Saccharomyces cerevisiae S288C: one gene and its partners. Changing the gene in region 3 together with the main gene of any one other region gives a genetic interaction. Each region holds a gene or a part of one and is shown on either strand. Other genes may lie near its edges.

Region 1 (4,624 bases), on a different chromosome or scaffold from region 3:
CCTGGAATGTCAAAGACTCAATGGCCTTCTGACCAACCAAGCGATGGTAAATCTGTTGGTGGTCTTTACTGTAAAAATGGTTACTTGTACCGTACCAACACTGATACCAGCGATTTATGTTCTACGGATGAAACATCTGCTAAGGCCATTAACAAAAAGTCTGACTCCATTGCTCTATGTAGGACGGATTACCCAGGATCAGAAAACATGGTGATTCCCACAGTGGTTGATGGTGGAGATTCACAACCAATTTCAGTCGTTGATGAAGACACTTATTATCAATGGCAGGGTAAAAAGACTTCTGCTCAGTACTATATTAACAACGCCGGTGTATCTGCAGAAGATGGGTGCATTTGGGGTACTTCTGGTTCGGATGTCGGCAACTGGGCTCCACTAGTGTTAGGTGCTGGTTCCACTAATGGAGAAACATACTTGTCGTTGATTCCAAACCCCAACAGTAACCAAGCTGCCAACTTTAACGTTAAAATAGTTGCATCCGATGGCGCTAACGTTCAGGGCAGCTGTGCGTATGAAGATGGCTCTTTCACCGGAGATGGTTCCGATGGTTGCACAGTTTCTGTTTTATCTGGATCTGCTGAATTTGTTTTCTATTAAGTCATTCTTCTTTTCGGTAAAAGAATGTCTTGTATTTTGATACCCTCAATTCCCCTTATTATTCTTTTTCTTCCGCTCTCTATTTATTATTATACATTGGGATTCCGTTATATTTTTCTCCTTTCAGTTCATTTTACTTCTTAAAAAGTTTCGTTGATCGCTATTATGCTATGGATTCAAAGATTTTCTTTTCTCTCTCTTCAAGGTGTACTCTGCATTACGGTTTTCTTTAGTTCGTTTATTTTTTTTTTGTTAACAAGGTGTTTGTATACATATATATAAATATATGGAAATATTATAGTGTTTATTTTGTTACTTCCTGCGAGTTGCAACAGAACTAACAAGATGCCATGCTGTTTTTTTTCATTTTTTGGCTATAAAAATAACAGTATCCTAGTCCTTGTGTTCGGCTTTAAAATGGAATTGCAAACCCCATAATTCCTTCTTCACACCGAACAAACCGCCTAGTAGTCGATTTTCAGAGACTCTAATGCTTTGAATATAAGTGAACCCTTTTTTCTTCAAAATTTCCTTAAGCGTGCTATCGAATGAGTAGACATCAATCAAGAGTTTCATGGTCTCCCCGTATTTGCCGCTGCTTCTAATATTTTTGGAGTGTAGCATAGCCCAATCAATCAAATCTTCGATAATGCCACTTTTTACATATACACGACGACAACCCACAGTAGTAACACTCATGACTAAATTTTCATCAGTACTTAATGTCATGTTAGGGGCTAACGAAATCAATGCAATGGGCGTTTCTCTATAAACGATGATATGCGTATTGTTCACCACTGGATCCTTTGTTTCATGTCTTGCCACCAAATCATTCAAATTGATGCCGAAAACTTTCTCACCTTTAGAACCAACAAGTTGGTTGATCTTCGACTTGAAATACGAGTCAGATACACGTGAGAGGAGGGTGAACAAGAAAGATGCACCAATTGCGGTGAACACTAAACCGCTGAGGACGACCTTCTTATTAATACGAGCCAGCTGGTAGAACCATCCAGCAACGGATCCTGTATTCCTTATCGGAAAGACAATTCTTGGCGTCAAGTAAATAAGCAGCCCAATGGTTAGAACAACAAGGATGACGGGATGGAAGAACAAATACTTATTAGCCAATGCCTGTTCTTGTCTGATGAAATCCGCGGACAAATTCAATGCAGCTGTACCATATTCTGGTTTCAAATTAACACTGTAAATAGTAGGAGGAGCATCAATATCAAGTGGTTTGTCTAATGATGCATCTACTTGTGGGACCGATGGGGCATTTTTATCGGACTTTCTACCCTCTTTCTTCTTTCTTTGTTGAACCGCCATTGTGCCACTCTTCCTACTCTTGTACTTTCGCTATGAAAAAATGTGCAACTGGAAGAGTCGTAATCAATCTAGAAAACTTAGTAAAAGTATGTGCTATATATCTATAAACATGAAAAGCTTTATTTGTGTGAGAGAGAAAAAAAGATGTTCTTTGGTCGTTATTCATTATAGTTTCCATAAAGAGCACGTGCGGGCGCGCTGGGTAATGCGGGTGTGAATTTTCAGTTATAGGTCAACTACAACAGCAGGTCGAGAGGGCTTCTTCAGAAAGCGAGAGGTCGTACCAGGGATGATGTTGCGGGAGCTGCTGTTGCTGCTGCTGATAATGCACCAGTGCAGTTGGACTGGGAAGAGCAAGTGGAACAGCCACCATCTGGATTTCCATTATTGGGTACATATTTGAGAGTGGACGCTCGATGCGATGTGGTCTTCGACGCCTCCGCTTCCTCTTGATGGCTACGATCCTCAGACGAGGCCGTTTGCGTCTCTTAACGTGTGTGTGTTGTATAATGGGAGAACAGGGTTGTCTCTCCTCGGTCTTGCGCTTTTTCACTCGCAATACAGCATGCCCAAGAGTGCAGAGCCTATCAATGAGATAATTGATTAGAATAGAATTTATCAGTGGGTCGACAATAATGAACCACTTGACAACGGTCTTGGCCGCACGTAAAACCTGTGTGGTGCGAGAAGCAACGAATCTGTATACAGTTGATACAGAACGTCGGATCAACAAAATGGGGCGTGATGAAGAAAAAAAGTGGCGATCCCGTGGAGGACATTGGTGCATGGATGATTCAATCATACAATTTACGACATTTAACCAAAGTTGCACTCTGATGGGCTCAACGACTGCTACTCGTGCCAATAATGAAACTGAAAAGCATGAAGCCATCACTGTTTTTTTCGTGGTCTTTCTATATATAAACAAAGCCTCTGTAAAGTTTTTTTTTTTCGCATAACAAACGCGCTTATCTGAGACATAACAACAGCCAACGACCGATGCCTGCGTGGAATAAACAATAATACGCTGCAGAGGATAAAAAGAGAGGTATCATGTCTATTTATTCTCTGCTTTTCTAATCAAATGTGTATTGTATGCTGAACCATGCCGGTTGGTTGCTTCTTCCGGTAATTGCATTCAAGTCCTGCAACTTTAAATGTCCTCTTATAAAGCAGGACGTGGCTTCAGAAACAAAAAATGTGTCGCCAAGAGAAAACAAGAACAGCTATCCAAGTCGAGCTGGGAAAGTAATCAGATTTTTGTATATGTATAGGTACTTTCTTGATCCGTAAGCTGGAACTTCTTTCATGATCTCTGTTATAGGAAAGCCAGAATAGAAAGAATCCGCCCGTAAAAAGAAAAATAAAGCAAACTCGATACAATTTCATGCAAGAAGGCCATTTGCTAATTCCAAGAGCGAGGTAAACACACAAGAAAAAATGGTCAAACCAATTATAGCTCCCAGTATCCTTGCTTCTGACTTCGCCAACTTGGGTTGCGAATGTCATAAGGTCATCAACGCCGGCGCAGATTGGTTACATATCGATGTCATGGACGGCCATTTTGTTCCAAACATTACTCTGGGCCAACCAATTGTTACCTCCCTACGTCGTTCTGTGCCACGCCCTGGCGATGCTAGCAACACAGAAAAGAAGCCCACTGCGTTCTTCGATTGTCACATGATGGTTGAAAATCCTGAAAAATGGGTCGACGATTTTGCTAAATGTGGTGCTGACCAATTTACGTTCCACTACGAGGCCACACAAGACCCTTTGCATTTAGTTAAGTTGATTAAGTCTAAGGGCATCAAAGCTGCATGCGCCATCAAACCTGGTACTTCTGTTGACGTTTTATTTGAACTAGCTCCTCATTTGGATATGGCTCTTGTTATGACTGTGGAACCTGGGTTTGGAGGCCAAAAATTCATGGAAGACATGATGCCAAAAGTGGAAACTTTGAGAGCCAAGTTCCCCCATTTGAATATCCAAGTCGATGGTGGTTTGGGCAAGGAGACCATCCCGAAAGCCGCCAAAGCCGGTGCCAACGTTATTGTCGCTGGTACCAGTGTTTTCACTGCAGCTGACCCGCACGATGTTATCTCCTTCATGAAAGAAGAAGTCTCGAAGGAATTGCGTTCTAGAGATTTGCTAGATTAGTTGTACATATGCGGCATTTCTTATATTTATACTCTCTATACTATACGATATGGTATTTTTTTCTCGTTTTGATCTCCTAATATACATAAACCGAGCCATTCCTACTATACAAGATACGTAAGTGCCTAACTCATGGGAAAAATGGGCCGCCCAGGGTGGTGCCTTGTCCGTTTTCGATGATCAATCCCTGGGATGCAGTATCGTCAATGACACTCCATAAGGCTTCCTTAACCAAAGTCAAAGAACTCTTCTTTTCATTCTCTTTCACTTTCTTACCGCCATCTAGATCAATATCCATTTCGTCTTCTAGCTTAGCGCTTGCGTCAACCAATAATTTTCTCTGTGTAGCATATTTTAAGTTTCTCTCGATTTTCTTAGCTCTCTTTTTGGAAAGTGTCCTCGTGGTGATGGAGGCCGGAGAAGATGAAGCATTTTGTAATGTCACAGCAGTGGAATTCTGACTTTCGTTCTTCTTGTTTTGGAAGTATAGGTCCAACGCTACTGATTTTATTTCCCCAGATTT
Region 2 (5,599 bases), on a different chromosome or scaffold from region 3:
TTGAGTTTAGATCTGAAGTTACCTTAACATTTGTATAAGCAAATTCGCTACGCGACTCTCACATCAAAAACTGCTTCTATGGCCAAGTTGGTAAGGCGCCACACTAGTAATGTGGAGATCATCGGTTCAAATCCGATTGGAAGCATTTTTTTGAATACTGAAAAATTAAGCTGATCACCAAACTCATGTAATATATATGCTTGACTATACAAATTACAGGCTTCTTCTCATATTTTTCTGCTCTACGTTAACCTACTTTAAACAGTCCAAAAGGCTTATGTTGTCCACATGAAATGCCTAAAACAGATGGCCAATATTTAATTTTTTTCCTTACTACATTTAAATCTGTATACTACCTAAATATCCTCTTTCGCTACTGTGGGAGAAGAAGAAGAATAACTCTCAGTTTATAATCTGATCTAGGCACTCTCAGATTGCGAATTAGCTTTTACAGTAAACGCCCCATCGCTCCATTTTTTGAAAGAGTCTAGAAGTTCATCATTTTTATGTAACTCTGCTATCTCAGTATAACCACCTCTGGAAGTACCACCGATGATAACGTTTGGGACTGTTCTCCTACCAGTGACTTTTTCAATCTGGTCTTGTAGTTCTTTTGTGTGTTCGTGCCTATCCAATTCTACAACGTAGTAAGATGGAGAAAACGTGTACGAATTAGTCAACAAAGCTTTCAGTTTTTTGCTATATGGGCAGCCAGTCTTGCTAAATACAATCATGGGTGACTGTTCCATTATTTTGTTGTATTCTGCAGCGGCATCAAATTCAGCGTCCCCACTATTTTTATCAACTTCTTCGGCTTCCTTATCTTGTGTATTTACTGTATCATGGACAGATTGGTGAGTGCCAGGTGCATTTCCTGAATTGTCAAACGTCACCAATGAATCAGGATGGTGAGTAGTAATACTTTCGTTGACGCTAGCATTCGAATTCCTTAACACAAAAAACACAACAATGAGCAGTAAATTAGTTATTACCAAGACTCTCACGTTTCTTTTGTTTATAACAATAGCCATCTCTAATTTTCTTCAGTTGTTTTGCGTTTAATTTGAAAATTTTGCTTCTTTCCAATATATAGGTTTTTTCTTTTATTTGATTCGAGCTTTTTCACTGAGGGGATATGTACACATTGGCAAATATCCTGCCGAAAGTACTTCTTTATTTTTTTTCAAAACGCAGTCCCACTTACCGGTATGACGTAGTCTCGATTCTCAAATACACCCGGGACTGCATATTTATACATCTGTAGTAAAGTCATTTTATATGGATTGTGAAGGAAAAAATTTACATAACTGGAAGATAAATAAACATAACTATGTAAGGAATAGTAATAAGAATGTAGAAAACGCCAATGGAAGTTGTCCAAACTATAGTCCGACCCGTTGCATATTATTTACCGGCAATCGCCTTATCATGAGTAGATTCTAAAAATGCTAATCTATCGGTGATGTAACCACACACTCTTTTCCATTCCGTTTTATCCTGCCCTAAAAGGTCATCGAGATATTTGAAAGGATTCTTATTAACACAAACATATTCGTTTAAAACCTTGAAATTCTCTAGTTCAATATCGTAATTTTTTACCTTTTTTAAGGCCGTATATGAACGAGCAGGTTTACCATTCGTAGTCAAAAAATTGCTTTTAGATAAATCGTATGGGTCAAACTTTGGGAAGTTTGAATGGATGAACATAACATCTACATGATTCTTGGCATTTAAGTCCTCGTTGTCGAAAAATTCTTCGGTGTATTTTTCGAGGGAATAGTTTTTGTCAAACTTGATTGCATCAGCTGATTTAGTGCCACCGTATTTGTTGCCAATGCTCTCCATAGCATTTAAGTAACGGCCATAATCCTGCACAAAGTCGTGTTGTAACATTGCTACACCATGAAACCCGTCTTCATCATGGTAGCCTTCAACGCCTGTCCTTGTTCTAACTTGGTAAAATGATAGACCATAAAAGTTTGCAGCGGCAATGAAAGTTTCCTTATCACCTTCACCAGCAGCTTTTTGAGAAAATATTGGGTAGTACCACGTTGGTCCATTGACGTTGTAGAATAAAGATAGAAGAGCCGTAGCCAAATGCTTCGTTTTGTTTATCATCAGTTGGCCGGATTCCGTAGACACGTCGGGTATTGTTCCGTCTAGGTCACTTAGCGGGACGTCACTCAAATCCTTCAAATCCTTTGTGTAAACAGCAGGTGGGGTGATATCGTCTCGAGAATTGCGAACTCTCTTTTTCTTGTCCACAGCAATACCTGCAATGTCGTAATACAATGGGTGAGTTGTACGCCTCCAGAAATCGGGCCACATGACCAAGCCCGTAGACACATATGGTTCTTCATTGAATATGTTGTCTAGGGGTTTGATGGGGAAGTTGTCAGCATCCAGTAAGAGCAGGTTTTCAAAACTAGAAGCGATAAGGGCCAATGATTTAAACTGGTATCCTTTGAAAACAAATTTTTCAATCGTCTCTCGTGGTAGAATATCTGAAACGTAAATACACTTGGAGTTATACTTAGGCAGAATCTTGTTACAAAACTCAGTTTCACCTTCATCACCAGGAGGGATCAGGACTTCCACAGGTAACGTGGTCCCCATATTCCTTAAAGTCTTAATGATCAAAAATGCCATAAGGGAGAACTTCCCGCCACCCACTGTGGCTATACCGGACCCTTTGTACGTACCCTTTGGCGAGACGAGAGTCGCTATATGCTCTACGTAGTCCTTATGGCTTTTGGTCAGACTTGCTACTTCATCCGGAGATAGTTCCAAACACTTGGACAGCTCCTTAGCAGACAACTTGTAAAGATCTTTGTAGTGGTCGGGACGGTCTCCAATGTCACCCTTTAATAAGCATGCCTCGTTATACTGCTTTGCAGTACTCCCCTTGGGCGAATCAACCATTAGAAAGTTGAAAACGTTGTTGTAGAAGCTTTTCAACTTTTCATTGCCTGCCTCATCATTGTCCCTCAATGGGGTTGAATCGTCAGCGCTGGCGGCGTCTGAGGAAGATGAATACTTATTGGAGTAACTCTGGACATATCTGTCTAAGTACTCCTTGTACTCCTTGACCGACGTGTTCTCATCCATGTATTTGTTTGTAATGACGAACAGCCCGCACAATATCAAAACTATGAACGTCAGCTTGAACAGCTTTGAAAACCTTTTGGTAAGCAGCATACTGAAAATATAATTTTACTGACCTACCTACACTGATTTGTCTCGAAGTAGATATGATACCTTGAGCAGCACGAGGATATTAAAAAGTAGGGCAATTCTGCTTTTAACGTATAAGCAACACCAAGTACACGTAATTTATTTTGATGATTCTTCTATATTTTTTTTTTCTTCATTGTTATTTTTTCACTATCTTTTTCATCCCTCCGCAAAAGGACGCGATCCTTTTTTAGCACGTGAACGGTAATAACGGGTCCTGGACGATGTATTAGAGTCACCTAATCACCAAGCGAGCCAATGGCGACTCACTTGACTTGCATGTTTGCATAACCTATTTAGCGAACCCTCCAACTTCTGAGCGCACCAGCTTAACTTGTGCGCTAAGCTGCCTTGCCCGACATAGTGCCATCGCTCATTCCACCTCACACCTGATTAACTAAAAGTTTTAAAACTACGGGACTGCGAAAAAGTAGAGCTACGTTACTGCAGACCTACAATAATTGCACACATCGGCCTGATAACGAATGCTTCTAAAATTCTACTGTGCTACTATCGGCTGGTCGCGCCCGACGGGTTCGCTCAGCCGCTCTGCGCCCTCTTACTCTTCAGCCATTCTGCTGCGGCCGAAGCTATAAAAGTATGTCAATTTGGCTTTTTCCAAAATCCCCCTCTGGCTCTTTCTCTTCTCAAGACAAGCATTGAAGAGACTCACTAGTAAGCTTAAGATAGTCCTACACACAACCACCATGTCTGCTAACGATTACTACGGCGGAACCGCCGGCGAGAAGAGCCAATATTCCCGTCCCTCCAACCCGCCACCTTCATCCGCTCATCAGAACAAAACTCAGGAGCGTGGATACCCACCCCAACAACAGCAGCAGTACTACCAGCAGCAGCAGCAGCATCCCGGATACTATAACCAACAAGGATACAATCAGCAAGGGTACAATCAGCAAGGGTACAATCAGCAGGGCTACAATCAGCAGGGATATAACCAGCAGGGATATAACCAACAAGGCCATCAACAACCAGTCTACGTCCAACAACAACCACCCCAGAGGGGTAACGAAGGTTGTCTGGCTGCATGTCTGGCTGCATTATGTATATGCTGCACCATGGATATGCTATTCTAAGAGAACCCGCAAAAGTATTCAAGAATGAAAAAAAAAAAAAGAATAATCTCCCCTTCTGTTCTTTGCAGTTGCCTTTCTTCCCCTCAGTGTTATTTTTTTTCACAAGGAGATAAAAAAAAAAACTTTAACATGTCACTTTAAGCATGTATGTAATACGTCTATTAATTATATGTAACTTTTATAACTATTTTCATTTCTATGTGATCCATTTGCAGTTATGCACCTTTTTTTTTTTTCCGAATTGTGCTATGTATATATCACTAGTAATAATGTACCAAACTATACAAACACGTAGGATACAGTAAAAAAAATTTTAGCTGGTGAACTGTTGTAAGAAGGAGATTTCATCGGGCGTGAAATTTATTGCAGAAATTTGGGCAGAATGGTTCATCAAAAAGGTGTAGATCTCTTGCGCAAAAACATTCGCCTCTACATTGCTTGAAAGGCCCGTAACAATTTTATGAATGGTATCATTACTCATTGTGACCTCCGTGCTGGTCAAATTGATAATTTTCAGGAAACCCATGTACGCGCTACTCTTTTCCTCTACATCGTCCAATGCGTTAACGGACAAACACCATTTATTCCAGTTGGAATCATTGGCAAATGCGCCAGAACTGAAAACTTCAGGGTGTGTTAGCCCCATTTTTCCGATGGTCACAGACAAGTTCTCCATCACAGAGCTGTCTACGATTTGTGTGTTGGTGGTAAATAAATCTAGAATGATTCTAGACATATCAATGATATAAGTATTCAAATCGATACGTTCGCTTATCAAACCAAGCGCCCATATCGCATTTATCACAGCAGGAGTACCATCACTATCGTCGTTATGCATTATTTCCGTACCAATCAACTTCAAGAAATCCTCCAAATTACCAATTACCAGTTCCGAATTGAAAAAATATACAATATCTCCCAACAGGGCAAAGCAGCTTTGTCTTACTTCATGGACAGGGTCCTGCAAACATTCTAGCATGATTTTCAATATCGTTAAATCCTTCGTCCCTTGAGGGAACAATAGATCCTGCGAGTGAGCGCCAAGACCTTGTACCAATCCATCAATCAAATCTAATGAGGTGATGATGAAGTCCTTCTCAGGCACTACTATTGTCGGGTCTTGATGTGATTTGGCTTCCAATTCGACACAATGACATAGAATTCTAAAGGCTCTGTTGTACACTTCTGGTGCCATAGGCATGAATCTTTCCCCCAGTGATGATGCCACGCAGGAAAGACATTCTAAAAGTGGCCACAGCTCCTTGTCACTG
Region 3 (4,636 bases):
TGGTGATGTCTTAGGTGCAGGTGCGGGTTGGGCTAAATCCGTATTGTATCACGAAGGTGTGCGCTCGCAATTTTCTAAGTTCTTCAATGAAAGACAAGATACATTTGCTTTTGGTGCTTGTAATGGTTGTCAATTCTTGAGTAGATTAAAAGATATCATACCCGGGTGTGAAAACTGGCCAAGTTTCGAAAGAAATGTTAGTGAACAATATGAAGCCCGTGTATGTATGGTGCAAATATCTCAAGAAAAGGACAATTCTAGCGAGGAATCTGTTTTCTTGAATGGCATGGCAGGATCCAAATTGCCAATTGCTGTCGCACATGGTGAAGGTAAAGCAACATTTTCTAAAAGCGCTGAACAACTGGAAAAGTTCGAAAAGGATGGTTTATGTTGTATAAGGTATGTGGACAACTACGGTAACGTCACCGAAAGGTTCCCCTTCAACCCCAATGGGTCGACCAATGGTATTGCCGGTATCAAGTCACCAAATGGTAGAGTGCTTGCCATGATGCCACATCCTGAAAGAGTTTGCAGATTGGAGGCCAATTCCTGGTATCCAGAGGGCAAATACGAAGAGTGGGGTGGATACGGTCCATGGATTAGATTATTCAGATCTGCCAGAAGATGGGTCGGTTGAAAGATTTTTGTAGTTTTTGTATATGTAGTTTTTAAGTTTGAATAATAATTAGAAAGAAGCTGTCTTTTATTTATAGCATTTAATAATGGGTTTGCTTGTTAAAAATTTATCATAAATAGTATGTATATATATATATATATATATGGATATGTATACGTGGTAATGAACGTGTATACATATATTTAAAAGATTGCAATATAGTTTTTAGAATTAACCTGAATTAATTTAAAAATCATATATTAAAATAAACAATTGTGAAGGTAAAAAGAAAGAGTTAGGGGAGGTCAAACAAAGTAAAAAAAAAAAAAAGGAAAAAAAGCGGTTCGAAATTTATTTCATTTTATACGTTTTTTTGTTGTTTTTCTTTTTTTTTTTTTTGAAGTATGTTTCTTCTCTTAGTTAGTCTTCTTTTGAGCATTGTTTTCAGCTCTCTTCTTCATTCTTTCTTCTCTGGAGGCCTTAGCTTCTGGACCAGATTCAGTGTCTAGACAGTAATCCCACCATCTGAAAGAGGAAGCGTAGTTACCAATAAAGTAGTGATGATGCAAATCGTGGTGTTCAGCGCCAGCCCAGAATGGCATGATCTTGTTCAAAGACCATGGGAAGTCATAACCAGAATGAGAGTCAACAGCTTGGAATAATCTTAGGGTGATCCATACACATAGAGTGAACAAGTGTAATTTACCAGTGTACATGACGTAAAGAATTGGCATACCAACGGTACCAAAACCCAAAGACAAAGTTTCAGCAGGATGAGCATATTCAGCAGAAAGACCGAATGGAGCAGCGTATCTGTGATGTTGCTTGTGAATGTACTTGTAGAAGACACCGTAGTGGAATAGACGGTGAGCCCAGTAATGCCATGTATCTTCCAAGACGAAGAATAGACCAATTTCTAGAGCCATTGTTTTCAAAGATGGGAATGGAACTTCGACAGTAATACCTAATTTTTCACACATTGGGTGGAAGGTCCAGATAGGGATGGCCTCGACCAAGAAATGAGATAGAAGAACGGATTTCAAACAGTATAGTTGTTCCTTAGCACTTGGAATCTTAGTTGGTTGTAACTTCCATCTTCTAAAGTATGGAATTTGGTCGATGATGAACCATGGCAAACATCTAAAGAAATACATAAATTCATGCAATAAAAAGAACATTAGACCGGTGGCCAAAACATCATTGTTCATGTAACTGTACCATGCGGCCCAGTATTTCTCCATGAAATTCAATTGAGGTTGGTAATGGGCGACATTTTGCAAAGTTTGTGAGTAGGTGCTTGCTTGGACTAGACCTGAAAGGGTAGCGTTGTTGAAAACGGCAGACATCTTTTCCTCTTTTTTTTATGGCTGTACTACTTTTCCTTAGTCCTCTATGCTACTATCTAAAGAGAAAAAGTTACAACTAATATAAAGATTTACTGGAAGGAAAGAAACGAAGAGAGAGAAAAAAGGGAGAGAAGAAGAGAAGAAGAAAAAAAAGAATAGATCCTCCTGTATTATATATTATATAGAAGTATGCATACACAGGCGTACGCATACAAGAAAATGTACATGCATAACGGATTAATCGTGTGTATATAGTTTAAACTGCGCAGAGAATGAATAATAATAATACGACCACAGCAGAGGCGAGGCAAGCAAGAAAAAAAAAATTGGTGGGAAAGCGATGCGATACGGTGGCAAAGGGCCTCTTCCTCGACGGTTTTGTGCCAGGTGCCTTGAGGTTGCTGACTGTTATCGGTCATTGTTAGTTGCTATTGTCCTAGTGCTAGTCGTTTACCGTATACGATCTCTGTGTCCCGTATACGAAGGGAGGCAGTGGTAGTGGCAGTGGCCGTTGCGGAGCTGGCTAAACGACATCTGGGCGTAAACGACACCCGATAACTGGCTCTGCTCTTTCCTGCGAGATGGTTCTATCGGACCAAGGCCCAAACGGGTTTAAACGGCTGCCCTCCGCACCCGCACGTGACTACACCGGGTAACGAATGGATTGCGTAATATACCGATTTTTACTTTTTACACTTTTTTGTTTCCTATACGACGCGGACGAAGAGAAAGTCTTCTGCGCCAAGGCCGAAAAGAAAAATTTGAAGAAAACATTCTCAGATGCGAATCTACTTTTACATCATCTTCTACGTAGGCCCTTTTTTAGTTCCTTTTTTTTTTCTCCCTCGGTCTGTTTAATCATAGTAAAATCAGATATTGTCAAAAATTGTATTCATTGAATGGAGAGTACTTAAACTTCACATCCTAACATTAGAGATGCCAGAAAAAACATATAGGTATAAGTGAAATCATCATTATGATAAACGAGACGGATGAAAGGAGAAAAAACTGAAAAGAAAAAAAGGGCGGATTGACAATTCAAGAAAAAGGCAAAAAGTAAAGGAAGGTAACATCACTTGATATCGCACCCTTCTTTGCATTGCCTTGTGGTTACCGTACCACTCTTGCTTATGATTTTTTTTTCTTTTTGCGCGCGCTAGGCTGAAATGTAGAGGTTCAAGGTATGATAACAGCGGACAAAGGTATATGATGTCGCGCATTTGATGCCTTAAATACAATTTTTTTTTTTCCCTCCTCCGTCGAAAAAACGCTGTGAAGAATAAAAAAAAATTGTATTTTGTATTACCCGGATTTACTTTAGTCTCACATTGTATTGTTAGGGTTTTGCTACTTATGGTAAAACTGCCGCTAAAAAAATATTCATTTCTATCCTAATTGTATTTTTATTATGTAGAGCAAAGCTTGCGCGAAATTATTGGCTTTTTTTTTTTTTTAATTAATACTACCTTTTGATGTGAACGTTTACTAAAGTAGCACTATCTGTGGAATGGCTGTTGGAACTTTTTCCGATTAACAGCTTGTATTCCAAGTCCTGACATTCCAGTTGTAAGTTTTCCAACTTGTGATTCAATTGTTCAATCTCTTGGTTAAAATTCTCTTGTTCCATGAATAGGCTCTTTTTCCAGTCTCGAAATTTTGAAATTTCTCTGTTGGACAGCTCGTTGAATTTTTTCTTAGCTTCTAATTGTCTAGTTATAAATTCAGGATCCCATTCTGTAGCCACCTTATCCATGACCGTTTTATTAATTATTTCATAGCACTTGTAATTTTTGAGTTTGTTTTCCTCGATTTCATCGAAGTTCATTTCTTCCTCCAAAAATTTCCTTTGTTCTTCCGTTATGTCAACACTTTTCGTTGTTAAGCAATCTCTGGCCTTTAATAGCCTAGTTCTTAGCATTTCAGATCTGCATTTTTCATAATAATCCTCGGTACTTTCTACAAGATCAATTAAATTCCAATCAAAAATCGTCTTTTGCAAGATTTTGAAGTCACAGTACTTTTCATTTTCAATGTCAACAGCGCCCCATTTGTATTGTCTTCCTTTAACTTTTTCGCCCTTTTCATTAAAAATGTACTCATTAGATGCAATTATACTGAATGGATATTTTTGAAAAATATCTTGTGTTGCATTCAAAACTTCATCGCCGAAAAAGAAACATACAGGGATATCTTGTACTCTTATTATTTCTCTAACTTGTGTTTTGAAGTTTTTCAATTCCTCTTTCGTTAGCAAATCTGATTTAGCAATAACCGGGATTAAATTCACTCTCTTCGCTAATTTTTTCATTGTTACGACGTCTAAAGTATCAATTCCCTTATTTGAAGGTCTCAGAAAGTACAAACAACAATGGACTCTATTATCAACCATTTTTGTCCTATCAGGTTGTTCTTCTTGGAAAATGTACGATCTTATTTCTTCATCAATATAGTTAACCATTGTCCTCCACGTAAATGCATTATCCATATTGTTACCAAAACCAGGTGTATCGATGACGTTGAAATTAAGGTGTGTTCCATCTCCTTCTACAATGCTTTTATAACGAATAATAGGTTTGTTTTCTTTGATGTCATCATCAATTAAAGAAGTAGAAAATAAGGAATTGATAAACGTGGTTTTACCCAATCCACTTTGACCCGCCACCATCAGCGTAAA
Region 4 (4,909 bases), on a different chromosome or scaffold from region 3:
TGGGAACAAATCAAAGAGATAATTGAATCGGGGGAGCTTGCCCGTTTGAAACGAAGTCGCCAGATGACTGACAAATACCACGAGCATAAGAAAAGGACTGCTGGCCTGGACATGAACCAGTACGTTTTGCAAAAACTAGGCTGGTCGCTAGACGAACCGCAGCTCGAAAATGCTGCCGCGAAGGCTTTTAGTTCTTCTACTCTATATGCTGTGCGTGCCAACGATTTCCCGTATAACTTCGAGCCTGGTGTTGTACACCTTGTTCTCTGGTCCAAGGTTGCCCTGCCAGTACATTCCCCAGATAAGGCCGTGCGCGAAGCGGCCCGCGCTCGCATGAATGCATTTTTGCAGGCACAGCCGCTACTGCGTCCACTTCTAAGCTCGGGTCACGTGGCCTGGTTTGTCAACTACCCGGAACTACAAAGTGTTGCCCGGATTTTCCACGCTCACGTGCTGCTTTTCTTCCCACGGGAACGCTATTCCGCGGAACAGGTAAAAACGACCGTTGATGATATCCTTTCACACGGTTTCGAGCCACTTGCCTGATAAAGTTTTTTTTTTTTTTTTCAGCATGCCAAAATGCTACATACATTTGTTAATTATGTACTATAACCGATACTGGTATTAATGATGCGATGAGCTGATGAGACAGTAGATAAATAAAAGACGCTTCTACCTACACAAGCACATACAATATAATATGCATATGCAACTCAGGAAAAGAAAAAGGGTTGACTATTCAGGGAGAAATCAGACGTCCGATCCTCCTTCAACCACAACGGCAGCGGTACCATCCATTATTGTCCCTAAGAAGCGTAAAGTAGTCGCACAAAACATGGTTAGTCCAGCTATTCGAGCCACAACCACAACACTGGGCACCTCAAATATAATAATACCTAAGCCTCTGCAGCGCCCTAAATTCCACAATAGCGCCAGCCTATCTTCACCTGATGATGATCCCGAAAAGATCTCTGTATTGGAAGTTCAGAAAAATTTGTCCAATCTCATCAAAAGACAACAAAGATTATTTTATAAAGATATACATAAGCCGACTCTCGCCGGCTTGAAAAATTTCGAAATGTTAAGGCTGCCCAATGATCTAAAACTCCTACAAAACATCGTAAACCTATTATATTCATTCGAGCAATTAAACAGTGACTCGAAGACAAGACCAGTCACTACTTCCAAATTAAAGGCCTCCTCTCAAGCGCACTCAGACAAATTGAAAAAAATGCTAGCTGAGAGGAAACCTCCATTTAGCCACCCCAGTCACAGCGGCACTGCCTACCACAATGACATCATCCATGAGATAGCGAATTTGCATTCTATTAACCTGGTAGATTTGATTAATTTGGAAGTATATAATAACAATTGCCATACAAACAACACAGCGTTGCAAACTACGGCGAATTCGCTGACACTTAATAGCATTATCAAAAAGCTTGACAAGCCAATACTGAAAGAAAGAAATAATTCTCTGGTATGGCCCCATAAAAGCAGATTTAAAGCAAAAAGGAACCAACCTTCGCCTGGCCAATCTTTAATTAACAATACAGATATAACTCTCTACAACGATGTATAGCCGCCATCTCTACTCACTCCATAATATTACATATAGATATAGGACAAGCCCGCATTTTCATACTGAAAGGTAAACTTCTATTATTATAGTGGTATCCAACGTTCACCGCTTCCAGCATAGCAGAAATTACGTGTTTTTGCATATGTTATGCTGATCATTGTATGCTTACTACCATTTTTCTTTGCTTCGCCTTGCCTTCTTTGACGTTTTTTTGAAGCAAAAAAAAAGTCAAGACAGATGTGCTTACAAAACCATGTAAGGCTCATTTTCAAAGAAGCTACTAATAGAAAGAGAACAAAGCGTTTACGAGTCTGGAAAATCAATGGAGGCCAAGATAGATGAGCTGATCAATAATGATCCTGTTTGGTCCAGCCAAAATGAAAGCTTGATTTCAAAACCTTATAATCACATCCTTTTGAAACCTGGCAAGAACTTTAGACTAAATTTAATAGTTCAAATTAACAGAGTTATGAATTTGCCCAAAGACCAGCTGGCCATAGTTTCGCAAATTGTTGAGCTCTTGCATAATTCCAGCCTTTTAATCGACGATATAGAAGATAATGCTCCCTTGAGAAGGGGACAGACCACTTCTCACTTAATCTTCGGTGTACCCTCCACTATAAACACCGCAAATTATATGTATTTCAGAGCCATGCAACTTGTATCGCAGCTAACCACAAAAGAGCCTTTGTATCATAATTTGATTACGATTTTCAACGAAGAATTGATCAATCTACATAGGGGACAAGGCTTGGATATATACTGGAGAGACTTTCTGCCTGAAATCATACCTACTCAGGAGATGTATTTGAATATGGTTATGAATAAAACAGGCGGCCTTTTCAGATTAACGTTGAGACTCATGGAAGCGCTGTCTCCTTCCTCACACCACGGCCATTCGTTGGTTCCTTTCATAAATCTTCTGGGTATTATTTATCAGATTAGAGATGATTACTTGAATTTGAAAGATTTCCAAATGTCCAGCGAAAAAGGCTTTGCTGAGGACATTACAGAGGGGAAGTTATCTTTTCCCATCGTCCACGCCCTTAACTTCACTAAAACGAAAGGTCAAACTGAGCAACACAATGAAATTCTAAGAATTCTCCTGTTGAGGACAAGTGATAAAGATATAAAACTAAAGCTGATTCAAATACTGGAATTCGACACCAATTCATTGGCCTACACCAAAAATTTTATTAATCAATTAGTGAATATGATAAAAAATGATAATGAAAATAAGTATTTACCTGATTTGGCTTCGCATTCCGACACCGCCACCAATTTACATGACGAATTGTTATATATAATAGACCACTTATCCGAATTGTGAAATAAATTGATCAATCAAATTAGTGGAGGAAGATAGTCAGAAATAAAGCCTTCTCTCCTCCTCTTTCGCATCTATACATACGATTTCATATATACGTTTCATTGCATCATCTTTTGATATATCTCAAAAAGATCTCTTAGTTCGCAAATAGTCAAATCTTCAAATTTATAGCCTTTATATTTTTTCCACGATTTCTGAAACTCCTTTTTATCAGCACCGTTAATGCTAGCGGTTACTGTCAAATCGCCGGTAAATTCGCGATTTCCGTGCTCTAAAGATGCTGAAGATCGTGAAGATGATGAAGTTGATCGTGAGCCATCCCTAGACATCTCTGTTGTATCTCTATTGCTCAATTCCATGGATAATTGAGACGAACTTCGTGGTATGTTTAAGTTGTTGCTACTGTGAAGGTTATTATTGCTAGTATTGTTAGGATGTGGTGGAGTATATGACCTAATTTTTCCGATGATATTTTTTAATGATGAATCAAAAACGGTCCTGAAGCCATCATACGAATTCGATCTTGTAACATCTGGCCTTTGGATAGTAGGAGTCACGATGTCACCTAGGTTACTGCCGTTATTACCGTTGTTTTTATGCATTATAGCAGTTTTTGATGGCAATGAGACTCTACTGCTGATTGAATTTTCTAAAATTTTACTTTCATTTACAGTCAATTTATCTTGTAGCTCATTTGAAAAATCATTTTTGGTTAAGCCTTCAACAAAAACTAATGCAGCTTCTAGATTGGTTAATGCAAAGGATTCTGTTTCGACCAGCTTTTTCTTATATCTGAACAGCCTGATGAATTCGGCATTCAAGAAAATATCCCGTGGAACAATCGTAATAATGTAGTAGATTAGCAACGAAAGATAATCATCATTAGACATTTCTTGGGAATATGTCATGATTTCATGTAGTTTCAGTAGGGCCTTTATCTTTTCACATGGTGAAATCGAATGATAAGTAAACTCATATAAAATATCTTTGATCTCTTCAAACTTTGGTTCCGGATCAATGCCATTATTAAGACTCAGAAACTTTATCAAATTGATTTTATTCATTGTTGAGAGTTTGGACAAACAGAGGATTTTTTCATTCAACAACTTATTGTATTCTGTGAATTCAACACTGTTTCTAAATAGATTTCCAACCTTGAAAGTTTGTAATTGGTGTGGTTTGAAGGTTTTCATTTTATTCGGTGAAGATACGGATGTGCCTACTATAAGAATTTTCTTAAAAACATCTCTTTCACAAAGTTCCATATATTTTTCGATTTTCATGTTGTTTAATTCGTTGATTTTCAATTGCTTTTTTATCTCTTCAGGTGACAACATTTGTGTGGCATTAGTTGAATTTGATATTGACTCATTACTGAAAAGCGATGAAGATCTTCTTGGCCTCATAAGTGAATTTCCACTACTACTCCTACTTCTGCCAAAAATTCCGCTAAGACCACTACTTAACGTTTCTTTGGCAGCCAAGAATGAACTAGAGCCCCCGCCAGAAAAATAATAGCCATTATTATTCGCTGAACTGACGTGCTGGAATGATGCTTTATCAAATTTTATGTAAAAGCTTTGGAAAAGACTAGACAATTGCAGTACTGATAGTGGCCGTACGTACTTTGGCTGCTTTAGGTCATCAATAAAAATGTCAATTAATTTTGATAATTCTGGAGGTAAATTGGTGACAGTGTTCAACGCTTCGTCAATTTCTTGTTTTGTCAATATAGGAGACTTATTGTTTTCTAGCCTTTCTCCTGTTGTAGAGTTTTCATCACCATCACAGCTACTTCTCTCATTGTCATTTTGATCCTCATGTAGATTTTGTTGAAATTGCATGCCGCCAGTTGTGTTCTTGTATGATTCCCTGATGGATTGATTAGGGTCAAACCTTGGATTGGTTATCGGAGGAGTGAATAATTGTCTAGCCATTTGACTTTTATTGTTAGAGGGCGTACTTCTTTTTTATCTGCTCTTCTTCTTGGCTTCTAA

The links.
Region 1: mutations in ERG25 (region 3) and PHO86 together harm fitness more than expected from each alone (negative genetic interaction), as found in Saccharomyces cerevisiae (3 studies listed by BioGRID).
Region 2: mutations in ERG25 (region 3) and MNN2 together harm fitness more than expected from each alone (negative genetic interaction), as found in Saccharomyces cerevisiae (3 studies listed by BioGRID).
Region 4: mutations in ERG25 (region 3) and BTS1 together harm fitness more than expected from each alone (negative genetic interaction), as found in Saccharomyces cerevisiae (3 studies listed by BioGRID).

What each region holds. Positions count from the first base shown.
Region 1 is NC_001142.9:189,851-194,474, reverse strand, and holds PHO86 (Pho86p), read right to left. Parts: upstream 1,945-4,624; coding exon 1,009-1,944; downstream 1-1,008. Other genes in the region: SUN family protein NCA3, read left to right, coding at 1-615; YJL118W (uncharacterized protein), read right to left, coding at 2,177-2,836; ribulose-phosphate 3-epimerase RPE1, read left to right, coding at 3,385-4,101; ALB1 (Alb1p), read right to left, coding at 4,232-4,624.
Region 2 is NC_001134.8:266,306-271,904, forward strand, and holds MNN2 (alpha-1,2-mannosyltransferase MNN2), read right to left. Parts: upstream 3,199-5,599; coding exon 1,405-3,198; downstream 1-1,404. Other genes in the region: glutathione-disulfide reductase GRX7, read right to left, coding at 420-1,031; cysteine-rich palmitoylated domain-containing protein CPP1, read left to right, coding at 3,942-4,328; KAP104 (Kap104p), read right to left, coding at 4,642-5,599. UniProt on the Saccharomyces cerevisiae protein: Alpha-1,2-mannosyltransferase, responsible for addition of the first alpha-1,2-linked mannose to form the branches on the mannan backbone of oligosaccharides.
Region 3 is NC_001139.9:607,890-612,525, reverse strand, and holds ERG25 (methylsterol monooxygenase), read right to left. Parts: upstream 1,963-4,636; coding exon 1,033-1,962; downstream 1-1,032. Other genes in the region: ADE6 (phosphoribosylformylglycinamidine synthase), read left to right, coding at 1-637; septin SPR3, read right to left, coding at 3,425-4,636.
Region 4 is NC_001148.4:420,888-425,796, reverse strand, and holds BTS1 (farnesyltranstransferase), read left to right. Parts: upstream 1-1,904; coding exon 1,905-2,912; downstream 2,913-4,909. Other genes in the region: HTC1 (Htc1p), read left to right, coding at 1-546; YPL068C (uncharacterized protein), read left to right, coding at 701-1,582; guanine nucleotide exchange factor MUK1, read right to left, coding at 3,011-4,849. UniProt on the Saccharomyces cerevisiae protein: Catalyzes the trans-addition of the 3 molecules of IPP onto DMAPP to form geranylgeranyl pyrophosphate. Required for the membrane attachment of YPT1 and SEC4. May be involved in vesicle trafficking and protein sorting.